2 linked regions of the Canis lupus familiaris genome follow. The protein of the gene in region 1 purifies or fractionates together with the protein of each later gene. This does not show direct contact. Links are inferred from orthologs where the notes say so. Each region holds a gene or a part of one and is shown on either strand. Other genes may lie near its edges.

The links.
Region 2: the proteins of ZNF346 (region 1) and KRR1 small subunit processome component homolog purify together in Homo sapiens (affinity purification with mass spectrometry; 3 studies listed by BioGRID and IntAct, with this or other methods). This does not show direct contact. The link is inferred for Canis lupus familiaris from reciprocal best matches to the Homo sapiens genes ZNF346 and KRR1.

Annotation. Positions count from the first base shown.
Region 1 is NC_049225.1:37,185,787-37,193,078, reverse strand, and holds the start of ZNF346 (zinc finger protein 346), read left to right. Parts: upstream 1-2,578; 5' UTR 2,579-2,625; coding exon 2,626-2,800; intron 2,801-7,292.
Region 2 is NC_049236.1:18,822,020-18,829,211, reverse strand, and holds part of KRR1 small subunit processome component homolog, read left to right. Parts: coding exon 1-29; intron 30-1,637; coding exon 1,638-1,772; intron 1,773-1,952; coding exon 1,953-2,078; intron 2,079-2,163; coding exon 2,164-2,247; intron 2,248-3,219; coding exon 3,220-3,276; intron 3,277-4,773; coding exon 4,774-4,944; intron 4,945-6,939; coding exon 6,940-7,017; intron 7,018-7,109; coding exon 7,110-7,192. UniProt on the Homo sapiens protein: Part of the small subunit (SSU) processome, first precursor of the small eukaryotic ribosomal subunit.

The sequences.
Region 1 (7,292 bases):
GAAATCCCAAACCAGTAATCAACAAACATCCCTACATCTTCAATCTGTTCTTGGAAAGTCACTGATTTAAAATTTGGCAAGTCCTGAAGACAATGCTTCCCTGCAGCCTTGAAGATACTATAAAATGACCCATCCTGAGCCATGGACTAGGATTGCAGCAAAGATGGGGGGGTGGATGTCATCATCACCCTCCTTCCCCCAGCCAACGTCAGCATAGCTTTGTCACTGTTTTCCTCAAGAACAAACCCTGCTGTTCAGACCAATTTCAGATTCTGAGTCAAATAATGTTTGTACACATCCTGTTAGTAAAACTTAATTTATGGTCACTTCTAACAACTAGAGATGTGTTCACAGAGCTGAGAAGTAGAAAGCCTCATGGTAGTGTTCACTAGAGAATAAATCTAAATTGTTTTGAGCATCTAATCAGATTGAGAATGAGGGGAAAGGGACTATTTTTTGCTCCATTTTGTCAAATATACATGCTTGAATTCTGGGAATTTTACAAAAATGTCCTTCATACCTTTGGATTTCTAGCTGAATAACTCTGCTATGGAAATGTGGGCAACTAGAAACTTTCTATGAGATAAATAAGTAATGTATAGTCATTGTTTTTTAGGCTAGTCATCTGGTATTGGCAAAAGGACACAGATTTGCAGCCTGAGGACTGGTGTTCAAGCATAAGCTCTAATATTAACTAGCTGTGTGACCCTGATAAAACCCTTACCTCTCCCAGTCTGTTTCTTTATTGTCGAATAAGAAAGAATCCTTCATAGGAGAACTACCCTGGGGATTAAATGTTAAAGGTGCTTTGTAAACTATAACACTACACAATTATCAACCATCTATTGCATTGTAATAGATGAGTCAGGCATGAGGTCTGACACAGAGCTGATGCACAATATTTATAGTATAAATAAGTAAACCCCACTGGTGAGCTGGGTGATCTCAGGCAAGAAACATCTCAGTTTCTCTCTTTTGCCTTCTCTGATAACCACCTCCCCCTAGTTCATTGGGCTCCAGACATACAGTCCTTTTTCCTGTTCTTCCAGCAGAGCAAGCTCACCCCTGCCGCAGGTCCTTTGGACCTGCTGTTCCCTCTTCCTGAAACATTCTTCCCCAGCTCTTTGCATGACTTTCCAGTTCTCATCAATCCAGTCTTAGATAAAATGTCATTTATTCAGAGGCTTTATTATTCAGTGAGTAATATTCCTTCCACGTCATTCACCCAATATATATTCCTGTTTTATTTTCTCCTTAGCACTTATTACTATCTGTTGACTTATTACACTCTCCTCCACTAGAAAAAAAAAAAAAAAACACTATACTAGAGCTTCCCTGTCCACAACTGTATTCCAATGCCCAAGATAACATCTAACTCATAGTAAACTCTCAATAAGCATTTGAATAAATGAAGTTGAAATATGATAATTATATTAAAAGTTTCATTTTCATTCATTCAACAAATATTTTGTATGTACCTATGAGAGCCCAGGTTCTATTTCAAGATGCTGGGGATTCAACTGAGAACAAAATAGACAAAAATCTCTTTCTTGGGGTATGACTACTAGTGGGGAAACAAAGAAAAAACAAGGTTAAAAAGTAAAAACATACTATATCTGATAATGTTAAGTGTTAAGAAGGAAAAAAATAATAAAGCAGGAAAGAAGGACATGAAATATGTGTGGAGGTGTTAAATTTTAGATAGGGTAATCAGAGAATGAAATGAGAGGCTGAGCCCTGAGGATATACGGGGGAAATGCATTCCAGGTCATGGTAACTGGCACAATAATGAAGGTGTTGGAGAGTAACACAATAAAGGATGAGACAGGGAGGTTAGGGGAGTTGGACTGTATAGAGCCCTTTGGCTAGACTAAGACTTTGGCTTTTACCAAGAGCGAGATGGTAAACTGTTGAAGAATAGGAGCATCAGGGTATCATGATGCGGCTTGTTTTAAGAGGATTGCTGGGGCTGCTGTGCTTCGAATACCTGAAGGGCAAGGGAAAGGACCAGTGAAGACGCTACAATAACCTTGGCAAGAGATGATGGCTCCCCAAGACTCGGGGAGGAGGAGTTGTGGGGATGGAAGATGAAATTTTGGATCCGACAGTCACATTGGGAGAGTTTAAGGGGGAGGTCTGCTCTGGGAGTTAGAACTTGAAACTCAAATGGTATTATTTATTATCAGCAGTAAACCAATCATGCAGATGGAGTCCTGACTCTACCACATCCTGGTAGCAAACTGTTGAGTCGACTATTTCTAGGTTCTGGGCCTCAGTTTCCCTAAGTAAAATGGAGAAAGTGTTCCCACATAACAAGGGCCTTCAAGAGAATGAAATGAGAAGTGTTGAAGGCTGACAGTGAGCAAGGTGAAAACCTTTGGCTTAAGACTGCACGAACCTGTACCAGAGGGAGGGGGCTGCTGTTAAACCAGAGACTGACTTTCAATTCCACAGCACACACTCCGAGAACCCCCAGCAGCGACCAAAGAGAAGCGTGTGGGCCCCCTACCGCAAGGCGGTCCGCAGAGCCCAAACCTCGCGAGATTTGTTGGCCGGGCAACGTCCCACATCTCGCGAGACCAAGGTTTATGAGTGACTATCGGCCGGTTAGGGCTTGCTGGAAAGATGGAGTATCGCGGGTTGGGCACCGTAGAGGCCGCGGACAGTGGAGGGGCCCGGCCATACAACAGCTCCGAGGAACGAGAAGGACGGGAACCGGACGGGCTGCGCTTCGACCGCGAGAGGGCGCGCCGCCTCTGGGAAGCAGTGTCCGGGGCCCAACCAGTGGGGAGGGAGGAAGGTGAGTCCGGGGACCTCAGAGGCAGCGAGTTCAACCGCCCGCTCATTTCACGGGGAGGGGCGGGAGCGCGGGGCGGGAGCACGGACAGCCCCCGGGTCTCCGGTCACACCCCCTGGCGCCCGGCCCGCCCCCTTGCGTGACGCGCCCCGGGACTCCTGGACTCGTGCACCCCAGCAGGGCCTGGGTACCATGGGCCAGGCACCCCGAAAATTGAGGCCGCAGCACCACAGGAATGAGGTCTCCGGGCTTAAATGGTCAAGGCCCCTCTCGTACTCCGGTCCCTCCATTCTCACCCACCAGAGCGCAGCTCTTCTTCAACTCTTCTTAAACGACTTTCATTCCTATCCATCCCTTCTCGGAGACCCACGGAGCCTTCCCCGCCAGACTACTAGCCCCCCACCATTTCTCACAGACTCCATCGTCCCAGTCCACAGGTTCCCCCACCCCTATGTCCCTTGCCTCCTTTGCATCCTTTCTCTCATACCCCACACTGCCAAGGACTCCAGAAGGTCTTCTTTTTTTTTTTTTTAAACATTTAAGATTTTTTTTTTTTTAAGATTTATTTATTCATGAGAGACACAGAGAGAGAGGGGTAGAGAGAGAAGCAGGCTCCACGCAGGGACCCCGACGTGGGACTCGATCCCAGGTCTCCAGGATCACACCTTGGGCTGCAGGCGGCACTAAACCGCTGAGCCACCCGGGCTGCCCGTCCAGAAGGTCTTCTTAACCCTATGTTCCTCCTGGCCTTGGTGTCTTGAACCTGATTTACCCCTGTTTCTAGGTGTCTGGTCTCAACTGCCTGGGTCCTTTTTATGAGGTGAGGGCCGGGAGACTGAGAAACTGGCCAGAGTATACTTTGGCTCCAGCTTCTTTGTATCCCATGCTTGTGCCAAAGTTGTGGAGAACAGGATACAGGAGAGGCCACTTCTGGGCTGAAAGCTTCCCAGCTTGCTCTGCATTTGACCTGGCACTGGGTAAAGTGGAGATAGAGGAGGATGGTAAAAGCTGGCCTGACTTGGTTGTGTGACCTCTTTCATAGTCCTTAGCAGTTAGCTGCTTAACTCTTAGCCAGAAGTACAAGAACTGTTTGGCCTGTGCTAATCCTGTCAAGTAATCTATAGGGAAATCAGATAATTTGTTTACTTGGTGAGCAGACTAATCTTGGAAAGTTTAATGTATTGCTTGTGAACTGATTACCCTGGAATAAAATGGAATTTTGGCCACATCCAAGGAAGGTATGTTTACATTTGGGGTGGTACACAGACCTATGCCCTTTTGTATGCTTCTCCAATTTAAAAACTAGTCTAGTCTGACTCCTAAATTAATATGGGCCCTCTTTCTGCCTCATAATTTCAAACTTGTTTGATACAAATCCTCCCCCAAACACACCCCAATTTTCCTTTCACTAATTTGACAAACATTCATTGATACCTGCTCAGTACCCAGGATGGCTGGGCATCAGAGCTACAGAGATGAGGAAGATACTGTCCTTGTCCTGAAGGGATTTTATAGTTCTAGTCCAGGAAGCAGACACCAAAACAGTTTCAGCTTAATGTAATGGGTGCAGTGAAGAAGAATGTATAAGAATTGGTTGTGCACAAAGAGGGAGTGACCTTTGTCCTTGAGGGATAAGAAGGGATCGCTTGATCTTGAAGCAGAGAACACAACAGCTGTGCTCTAAAAAGTGAATTGCTTATGTGTCTATGAATGTACAGTGTCACTTAGGACCCAGCTCATTTTTCCTACTCTCCTCACTTTCCAATAATTATATGAGGCCTAAGTAGATACCTGTAACCCCAAGTTCTACTCCTCTTTGTTTTGTTTTTCTCTTAGCAACTTTTTTTTTTTTTTAACATTTATTTATTTATGAGAGAGAGAGACAGAGAGGGAGAAGCAGGCTCCATGTCGGGAGCTCGATGTGGGACTCGATCCCGGGACTCCAGGATCGCGCCCTGGGCCAAAGGCAGGCGCCAAACCACTGAGCCACCCAGGGATCCCCTCTCTTAGCAACTTTTATTGATAATTTATATACCATAAAATTCACCCATTGTAACTGCACAATGCAATGATTTTTTAAGTAAAAGTACAGAATTGCGTTTTAGAATATTTCCATCACTCCAGTTAATTCCTTTGTGCTTCTTTTTTTTTTTTTAATTTTTATTTATTTATGATAGTCACACAGAGAGAGAGAGAGAGAGAGAGAGGCAGAGACACAGGCAGAGGGAGAAGCAGGCTCCATGCACCGGGAGCCTGACATGGGATTGGATCCCAGGTCTCCAGGATCGCGCCCTGGGCCAAAGGCAGGCGCCAAACCGCTGCGCCACCCAGGGATCCCCCTTTGTGCTTCTTTACATTAAACCTCCACTCTTACCTTCTGCCCTAGGCAACCACTGTACTCTATAAATTTACCTATTCTGAACATTTCATGTAAACAAAATCATACAATATGTAGCCTTTTGCATTTGGCTTCTCAACATGTTTTTGAGGTTCAGCCAAGTCGTACTGTGTATTAGTACTTAATTACTTTTTGTTGCTAAATAGAATCCCCATTGTATAGATCTTGCTTTTTTATTTTTTCTTATTTTTATTTTTTTTTAATTTTTATTTATTTATGATAGTCACACAGAGAGAGAGAGAGAGAGAGGCAGAGATACAGGCAGAGAGAGAAGCAGGCTCCATGCACCGGGAGCCCGACGTAGGATTCGATCCTGGGTCTCCAGGATCACGCCCTGGGCCAAAGGCAGGCGCCAAACCGCTGCGCCACCCAGGGATCCCGATCTTACGTTTTTAAATTTTTTTTTTAAGATTTTATTTATTTATTCATGAAAGACACAGAGAGAGAAAGGCAGAGACATAGGCAGAGGGAGAAGCAGGCTCCATGCAGGGAGCCTGACGTGGGACTCGATCCTGGGACCCCAGGATCAGGCCCTGGACTGAAGGCGGCGCTAAACCGCTGAGCCACCTGGGCTGCCCTAGATCTTGCTTTTTTATCCTTTGACAGTCTCTGCCTTTTGAGTGGGCTCTTTAGACTATTCACATTTAATTTCATTATTGATATGGCTAGATTTACATTTTCTACTTTGCTGTTTATCTCCTTTACATTTTTTTTTTCTCTCCTTTACATTTTGTTCTTCCCTTTCTCCTTTACTGACTTCTTTTAAGTATTTTTTAGTGGGGATCCCTGGGTGGCGCAGCGGTTTGGCGCCTGCCTTTGGCCCAGGGCGCGATCCTGGAGACCCAGGATCGAATCCCACATCAGGCTCCCGGTGCATGGAGCCTGCTTCTCCCTCTGCCTGTGTCTCTGCCTCTCTCTCTCTCTCTCTGTGACTATCATAAATAAATAAAAATTAAAAAAAAAAAAAGTATTTTTTAGTGGACCATTTTAATTTCTGTTAATATTTTTTATACTTTTTTTTTATTTTACTTTTTAATTTTATTTTCTTAGTACCCAAGGGACTACAGGATGCATCTTAACTCATCACAGTCTACTTCAAATTAATACTAACTTAATTCTGATAAAATATAAAAACATTCTTCTAATAGTGGTCCATTCCTCCCCCTCCTTTGTACTATTATTGTCATATATATTACATTGATATGTTATAAGCCTAATTGTTCAGTGTCATAATTATTGATTTATACAATATGTCCTTTTTTCTTTTTTTTTAAGATTTTACTTATTTATTCGTAAGAGAAACAGAGAGAGGGATCCCTGGGTGGCGCAGTGGTTTGGCGCCTGCCTTTGGCCCAGGGCGCGATCCTGGAGACCCGGGATCGAATCCCACATCGGGCTCCCGGTGCATGGAGCCTGCTTCTCCCTCTGCCTGTGTCTCTGCCTCTCTTTCTCTCTCTGTGTGACTATCATAAAATGAACAAAAAAAATAATTAAAAAAAAAAAGAGAGAGAGAAACAGAGAGAGAGAGGCAGAGACACAGGCAGAGGGAGAAGCAGAAGCAGGCTCCATGCAGGAAGCCTGACATGGGACTCGATCCCAGGTCTCCAGGATCACACCCTGGGCTGAAGGCGGCGCTAAACTGCTGAGCCACCTGGGCCACCCAGTATGTCCTTTTTAAAAAGATTTATTTATTTATTTATTTATTTGGAGGGGCAGGCAATGGGGAGGGGCAGAGGGAGATGAGGAGAGAATCTCAAGCAGACTCCACTGCTGAGTATGGAGTTATATGCAAGTCTCACTGTCACAACCCTGAGCTCACAACCTAAGCCAAAACCGAGATCAGGTGCCCAACTGACTGTGCTACCCAGGCACCCCTATACAATATGTCTTTTAAAGAAGTTAACAGAAGTAATTAGGAAAACAATATTTATAATATCTTTTATATTAACCCACATATTTACCATTTCTGATGTTCTTTTTTTCTTCCTCTGGATTCAAGTTATACTTACTACCACTTCCTTTTGGCCAAAAGGGCTTCCTTGGGATCCCTGGGTGGCGCAGCGGTTTGGCACCTGCCTTTGGCTCAGGGCGCGATCC
Region 2 (7,192 bases), on another chromosome or scaffold:
CTTTGGTACAGAAAGCCTTGAATGAACATGTATGCACATTTTATATACTTATTTGAAATTTTGCTTTTATGCCTTTTCTAAAAATAAGTATATATGCTGGTGGATTTTTTTAAAAAGGTACTAGCGTAAAAAAAATAAAAATAAAAAAATTAAAAGGTACTAGTGTAAGTAGTTAATTTAGTTCCTTTTTTGGTGTTTTGTTTTTTTAAAGAAAGATCTTTAGAGTAAGTGTGTGCACCTACAGGCATGTGTGAGTAGAGGCGGGGGGCAGAGTCCCGCGTGGACTCTGCCGAACACAGAGCCCAACGTGACATTTGATCTCACAGCCCTTGAAATCATGACCTGAGCTGAAATCAAGGGTCGGATGCTTAACTGACTGGGCCACCCAGGTGCCCCTGGTTCCTTTTAAACAACCTAGATAGAAGCTTTATTCTTTTAATCCACTTGTTTTTAGTTTTGTGAGTAATAGATTACTTTTAAAAATTCACACACCTTTAGAACTGTAGGGATCTCATCGACTTTCTGAAACTCATCTCAGAATGCCTGTTCTCTACTGTGATATTTGCCATGTTTCTGTATAGTTTGAGTTGAGGCATGTACCTGGATGATTTCTTAATTTTCATTTTAAATGGAAGGGGTAGGGTGTGGCCAACTATCCCCTGTATGTACCTGCTGCCATTTCCCTAGAGTAATACATTTGTTTTTATTTTTCAAACTGGATTGAAACCCATTAGTAGAGCAAGAAATCCCATTTAATGGATATAATGAGCCTTAAAAAAAGGAATGCATCCAAAAAATAAAAATAAGTATCACATATGGTAAGGATAAGTTTCATTTTATGAAGTTTTTGGTTCATTTATATATGTGCACGTGAGAACCTGTGCACACACCAGGTTGTGATATAAAATGTGTTTCTCATCTAGGTGACTGCTCCAGAGTTTTGTGCCTGTTAGGTATTAGGGTGGTTCAGCAAACCACAGGCTGTTTTACAGCTGTCTGCATCTGAGATTAGACTTGTAAACTCACAGAGACCCAACCTTATGTTGAATTGTTCATCACTCACTACACTGAAATATAATTCACAAGATGCTATCAGAAAATGACATTTTAATTTGCTTTGTTGAAATCTGTTTCTTCCTATGAACAGTTAATGCCTAATTTTCCAGTTATTTTTTCTTTCTGAACCTATGAGAATTTGTTTTTACTTTGTATTTAGCTAATACCAGGTAGAAGAAAGTTTGAAAGGAAAAGTCTGTTCTTAACCCAAAGGAGCAGATGGCAGATCACAGCCCTGTCCAGGATAGAGGAGCTATATGTAGCTTTAGATTTTCACCCTAGGTCTTAAGTATGACCTCATTTGCATTGATACATATTTTTTAAACTAGAAATTATCTTTGAGTACAAAGTTCTAAAGCCAAGTAGAAATGGTTTCAGTGCCTAAGTTTCTTACATTCTTTGAAATATGAAAGTAATCAATGTTCATTATTTTTATCAACTACTCAGCTTCTTCAAGGGGGGAGTTGATAGAATTAGAGCTTAATTTACAGTAATTAATAGTTTGATAGGATAGGCTTTGTAATTACCTAAAATTGAATTGATTTTTAGACAGTTGTGTATTTGCTCTTTGCTTTTCTCAGCACGTTAATGCAACCCTGGACCTGATCGAGGGCAGTATGACTGTTTGTACAACAAAGAAGACTTTTGATCCGTATATCATCATTAGGGCCAGAGACCTAATAAAACTTTTAGCAAGAAGTGTTTCATTTGAACAGGTAAATTTAGAATTACAAAAACTTTGCTGTATTTGCATCAACTTTAGAGATAACATATAACACTGCATCCCTCCGTCTTAGAGTTTTTATTTTTCTGGTTAGATTTCATTAGCCTGGGCCTTGAAAACAAATGTGTTTGTAAAGAATATTGATGGAATATTTTCTTCGTTTTTCCCAAAGGCAGTACGAATTCTTCAGGATGATGTTGCTTGTGACATCATTAAAATAGGTTCTTTAGTAAGAAATAAAGAAAGATTTGTAAAAAGAAGACAACGTCTCATTGGCCCCAAAGGATCTACATTAAAGGTACTTTTTATCAGTGGAAAACTTGAGTCTTTCTCTGTCATTAGTTTTTCATTGTACTGAATTTGAGCTTAATCTTTTGTTATAGGCTTTGGAACTGTTAACAAACTGTTATATTATGGTTCAGGGAAACACGGTTTCAGTCATTGGACCTTTTAGTGGCTTAAAAGAGGTGAGAACTATTTACTATCTTCAGTTAATTTTCATCACTCCTAGATCCTAACATAATATGGTCAACCTTTGGCAACTAAGGAAGTATCCACTCCTGAGTTAGAAGGTCTGCACATCATTTCTTTTTCCACTACAAATTTTAAATGAGTATTTAAGATTTTTAGTCTCTAGCACATACAGGAAATGTGTATTTACATGTGCTCAAGTGATTAGAGAATTGAATGTTGATATTATTTGCAGTAACCTATATAAACTAGTAGAGGTCAGATTCTGGAAACTTTCCTTTAAAATAGTTTTCTTTTTTTTTTTGTTTTTTTTTTTTGTTTGTTTTTTTGTCTGAAGTTTAGTGTAGTATTTAATGTTATGAAAAAATCTGTGGAGCAGTTACTGTGTCTTAACTCCTTTTGTTGTCTGGATCTGGCTGCGAGGTCTTGTTCCCTTTCTAGGACCTACAGTAGTTCTGTTGGACCTCTTCTAGTTATCTGTCCTCTTCTCATGTGGCAATAATAATAACTTAAATATATTGAATATCCTGTGGTTTTGTGAAGTCTAAATATATTGTCTTATTTAATTTTTACAGCAGAGCCTTGAGATAGTTTTACTTCTGTACTACAAATGAGAAAGCAGGAAAAGGACAGGTGACTTTCCCTTACGAAGTGGCATTCCCATTATTGAGCCCGTATTTTCTGACTAAATCTAGCTACTTTCTTCCTAAATTCCACAGTTCCAAAATGTTGTTGTATTAGTTCTATATGTTACATTTTAGCAGTAAGTTGAGAAAATCCATTGCTTCCAAGAGAAGTTGACTATTATGAAAGATCTAGAGGTCACCCAGAGCAGTTGAAGGCCTACTGTATTCAATTTGGGAGTCATTGCCTGGTTCATAGGGTATGTTGCAGTGTATTAATCTCCTTCCACTGAGTTCATTAAAATCTTTTTAAATGACTAATTCATTTTTCTTTGCAAATTTCAGGTTCGAAAAGTAGTCCTAGATACTATGAAGAATATCCATCCAATTTATAACATTAAAGTGAGTTAATTATATGTTACTGTAACAGTGATTGTCAGACTTCTTTTAGGTGCAGAAACTTTTCTTGAAATTAGATTTTTTATGGAAGCCTAATGCACAAAGCAGATAAAGCAGAATTATTCAGGGTAGAGGTAGAGTTCTGCACACCCAACTACCCTAGTCCTGGAGTTATATCCGTGGAGGCTTAGGTCTCTGTGCTGTGCCGTAACGTATGGTGTAGTTCTGATACGAAGGACATACGCTTCATGAAATTGGTCATAGATGATCTCAGTCAGGTTTTCTTGGATTATGGGCCCATTACTATATTTGAAGATGTGATCGTTCAGAATTCTGCCCTTTTTCTATTAGTAGAGTCTGGAATACGTCAGATTGCATTAACACTATTTTTTTTTAATTTAATGTTCAAATTATAAACTCTTTGAGAGAGATCTGTTATATCCTTGTGTGCTCAGCATTCATGATTATACCTGGGAACATATAACTCATGATTATACCTGTTGTTAATGAACTATTTCATGAGGGTATTTTTGAAGCAATCCACTTAAATTTGATAAAGTTACAAAGTCACTCTTAGATTGGGATGGAAGAACGATTTTGAGTTGCCTTGGGACATTGAAGATAAAAAGAGCTGCTAGTCTTGTATCTGATGCCCGGTTTGCATCCTTTGATGTTCCAGTGTGTGCAGAATTCACATGGAGTGGGAGAAATGTGAGAATATTGGTTTTGTCTGATCAAGAGAAAGTTTACTTTTTTCTTTCCCTGTGATAATTAAAGTGCTACCCAAAAACTTCCAGCTTTTAGGGAACATTGCTAATTAAGAACTCTCCCTGCTCCAATTAATATGTATTTTAAAGACTTTTTTGTTTGTTTTTTAAAGATTTTATTTATTTGAGAGAACAAGTGATGGGTAGGGGCAGAGGGAGAGCATGAAAAAAGCAGACCCCCTGCTGAGCAGGAAGCCTGATGCGGGGCTCCAGCCCAGGATCTGGAGATTATGACCTGAGCCACCAAGGCACCCAAATTTTAAAGGTTTTAGTGAACTAATGGTTGAAAAGCTGAGTTGTCTCATCTCCGTTCATTTTAACAGTTCTGCATTTTTTTAAGGTTTTTCTTTTGTTTTTGTTTTGTTTTTGTTTTTGAGAGAGAGCGGGGAGAGAGGGAGAAGCAGGGTCCCCACTGAGCAAGGAGCCTGACATGAGACTCGATCCCAGGACCTTGAGATTATGACCTGAGCTGAAGGCAGACGCTTAACCAATTGAGCCACCCAGGCGCCCCAATAATTCTGCATTTCTTAATCTAAATTTCTAATGGTTTTCTTGATGCTTGATTTGAGATTACTTTTCTTATGGAGTCTTTTGCTCCTACTGAGGAGATTAAGAACTACTCATTTTAATTGTATTATTTATAGGAATAATATTTATAATGTCTTAGTTTGACAAATGTATTACTTATAAAATTAAAAATTCTTTCTTTGTTCATATATCACCATGACTAAAGACCTTAATGATTAAACGAGAGTTGGCAAAAGATTCTGAATTAAGATCACAAAGTTGGGAAAGATTCTTGCCACAGTTCAAGCACAAAAATGTGAATAAACGCAAGGAGCCAAAGAAGAAAACTGTCAAGAAAGAGTATACACCATTCCCACCACCACAGCCAGAAAGTCAGGTCAGTATTAATGTTGAATTTATTTATATTAGGGGGATACCATTTTAATCTATTTTGTTAGAAAGTTTATGGAGAGTTATTTAGGTAGATTTTCTCTGTGTGTGTGTGTGTGTGTGTGTGTGTGTGTGTAAGTATAAGAAACTAAAGGTAAGTGTAAATAGGCTTATTTTGAGCTAAGTGTGGGCGTGGGGAGTAGGGGCTTCACAGTAAGAGTGTAACCTCTGTCTAGGTGGTTGCTGTCAGTTGTGCCCCTGTGGCCACAATAAACATCCCATGGATTAAACAACAACAACACAACTTAGCCCTTAGTGCTCTCACTCTGCCTTAACATCATTCTTGTGACATGTGCTATATGACTACTCCAGTTTTGAAATCTTAAATTCTAACATCTGTACCCCCTCTTTTTTTTAATTTATGAGGGCTTCTCTTATGGTCACTTGTTTTCTGGCTTCATTTTTTTCCCCAAATTTCCTTTTCTCTCTGTCTCATCACTATTTCTTTTATGCTGCCTTTTCCTTCTATCACATCTGTCCAGCAAAACTCTCAAACTTGGTCAGTCCTAAAATTTGACTCCTTTCCCATAATGTGGCTGCTAAACATATTTGGAGAAAGTCTTTGGACTGTATCCATTATAATGATGCGTTTCCAACCTCAGATCCTCACTGTTGTCTAGTAGTTCTGTGTGTCCTCTTAGTTCTTGAAGCACCCTCCCACCTCTAGCAGATGACACTGTATTTTATTGTATGGCAGTATTTAAGACTATCAAGTGAGAACTCCTTTACCTTCCTTTTCTCTCACCTGTAATTTTTTTTTCCATCTGCGCCAGTCCTTTCTTCACCTGTTCTTTGAATTCTGTCTTCACCTATCTTCTGAGGTATCTTATGTCATGATTCCCTACGTTGGCTGTATCGAAAGGTCCTTCCTTTCTTCTAGTTCTTTGTTCTCAGCATAGTAACACATCTCTTTCTATATTTGGAGTTTGAATTTCAGAGGTTTGATGAAGGTCAGAGTGGAAAAGTGATCATGGTGATAAAACAATGGAAGTGTTGGATCATGAGGTCTATTCTGGAAAGGGAAGCAAAGAAAGGCACTGTTAGTTGGGGGAAGGTAGAGTGATCTTATTACTCAGGCGTGCTTCCATAACACCTACTATCCTTCTTATGGGCCTGTCCTCTAGTTAGTAATTGTCTTACCTTCCTCTCCTGTGACTAAACTTCTTAAAACAGTTAATGTCTCAATTGACTTTTCCTGCCACTTACTTGCTTCGTGACTGGCAATTTATTTAGCCCACCCATGCGTCAGTTTCCCCTGTACGTAAAATGGGGATAATATAAATAAATATCTATCTCAAAGGATTGTTAATGAGGGTTAAATGATCAGTAATTGTAGTTTAGTAATTGTAAAGAGATTAGTAATTATTACGAGTGTAAAACATTGCCTTAGATATAATAATGCTGTGTCAGTTTGAGATAAATCAGGATGAATAAGCTGTTACTTTCTCTAATTAGTGTTGAATTAGTCCCCAAATCCTAACAATTCTTGCTCTTCATTTTGCATGCCATTACTTTATTCCAAGTGTTTTTCTCTTCTTTCTTCTGTACCTTTTAAATACTGCTTTGGTCTCCATTTCTCTCAGAAACCTGCAGACATTTCTAAATTGTAGCCCACCCTCTTTACCTGGCATGCACATTTCTTCAAGCTTACCCCATATTATCTTTCCAGTTTCCTCACACTTCCTGAATCATTGATGTTCCATCCACCTAAAACAGCCTGCTGTATATTTCATGAACACATCACCTCCTTTCCTACCTCCATGCTTTTTGCATGTATTCCCTTCAGGTTAGAGCACATCTCCTTTTTTTATGTTACCGCCTTTATGAATTTATCAAGAATTTTTGACCTTGCTATCTTTAACTCAAGGGCATTATGCATTTCCTAGGAAATGTCTTTTATCTACCTATTTTCTGATGTAATTGTAAATCATGATTTCAACAGATTGATAAAGAATTGGCTAGTGGTGAATATTTTCTGAAGGCAAGTCAAAAGAAGCGTCAGAAAATGGAAGCCATAAAGGTAAGACTCTGTCTAGCTCATGACATTGATAGCATAGTTCATAGAAACTTGAATTCCTACTTAATAATAAATCGTTCTTACTAATAATGCAGGCTAAACAAGCAGAAGCTCTCAGTAAGAGACAAGAGGAAAGAAACAAAGCTTTTATTCCACCTAAGGAAAAACCAGTTGTGAA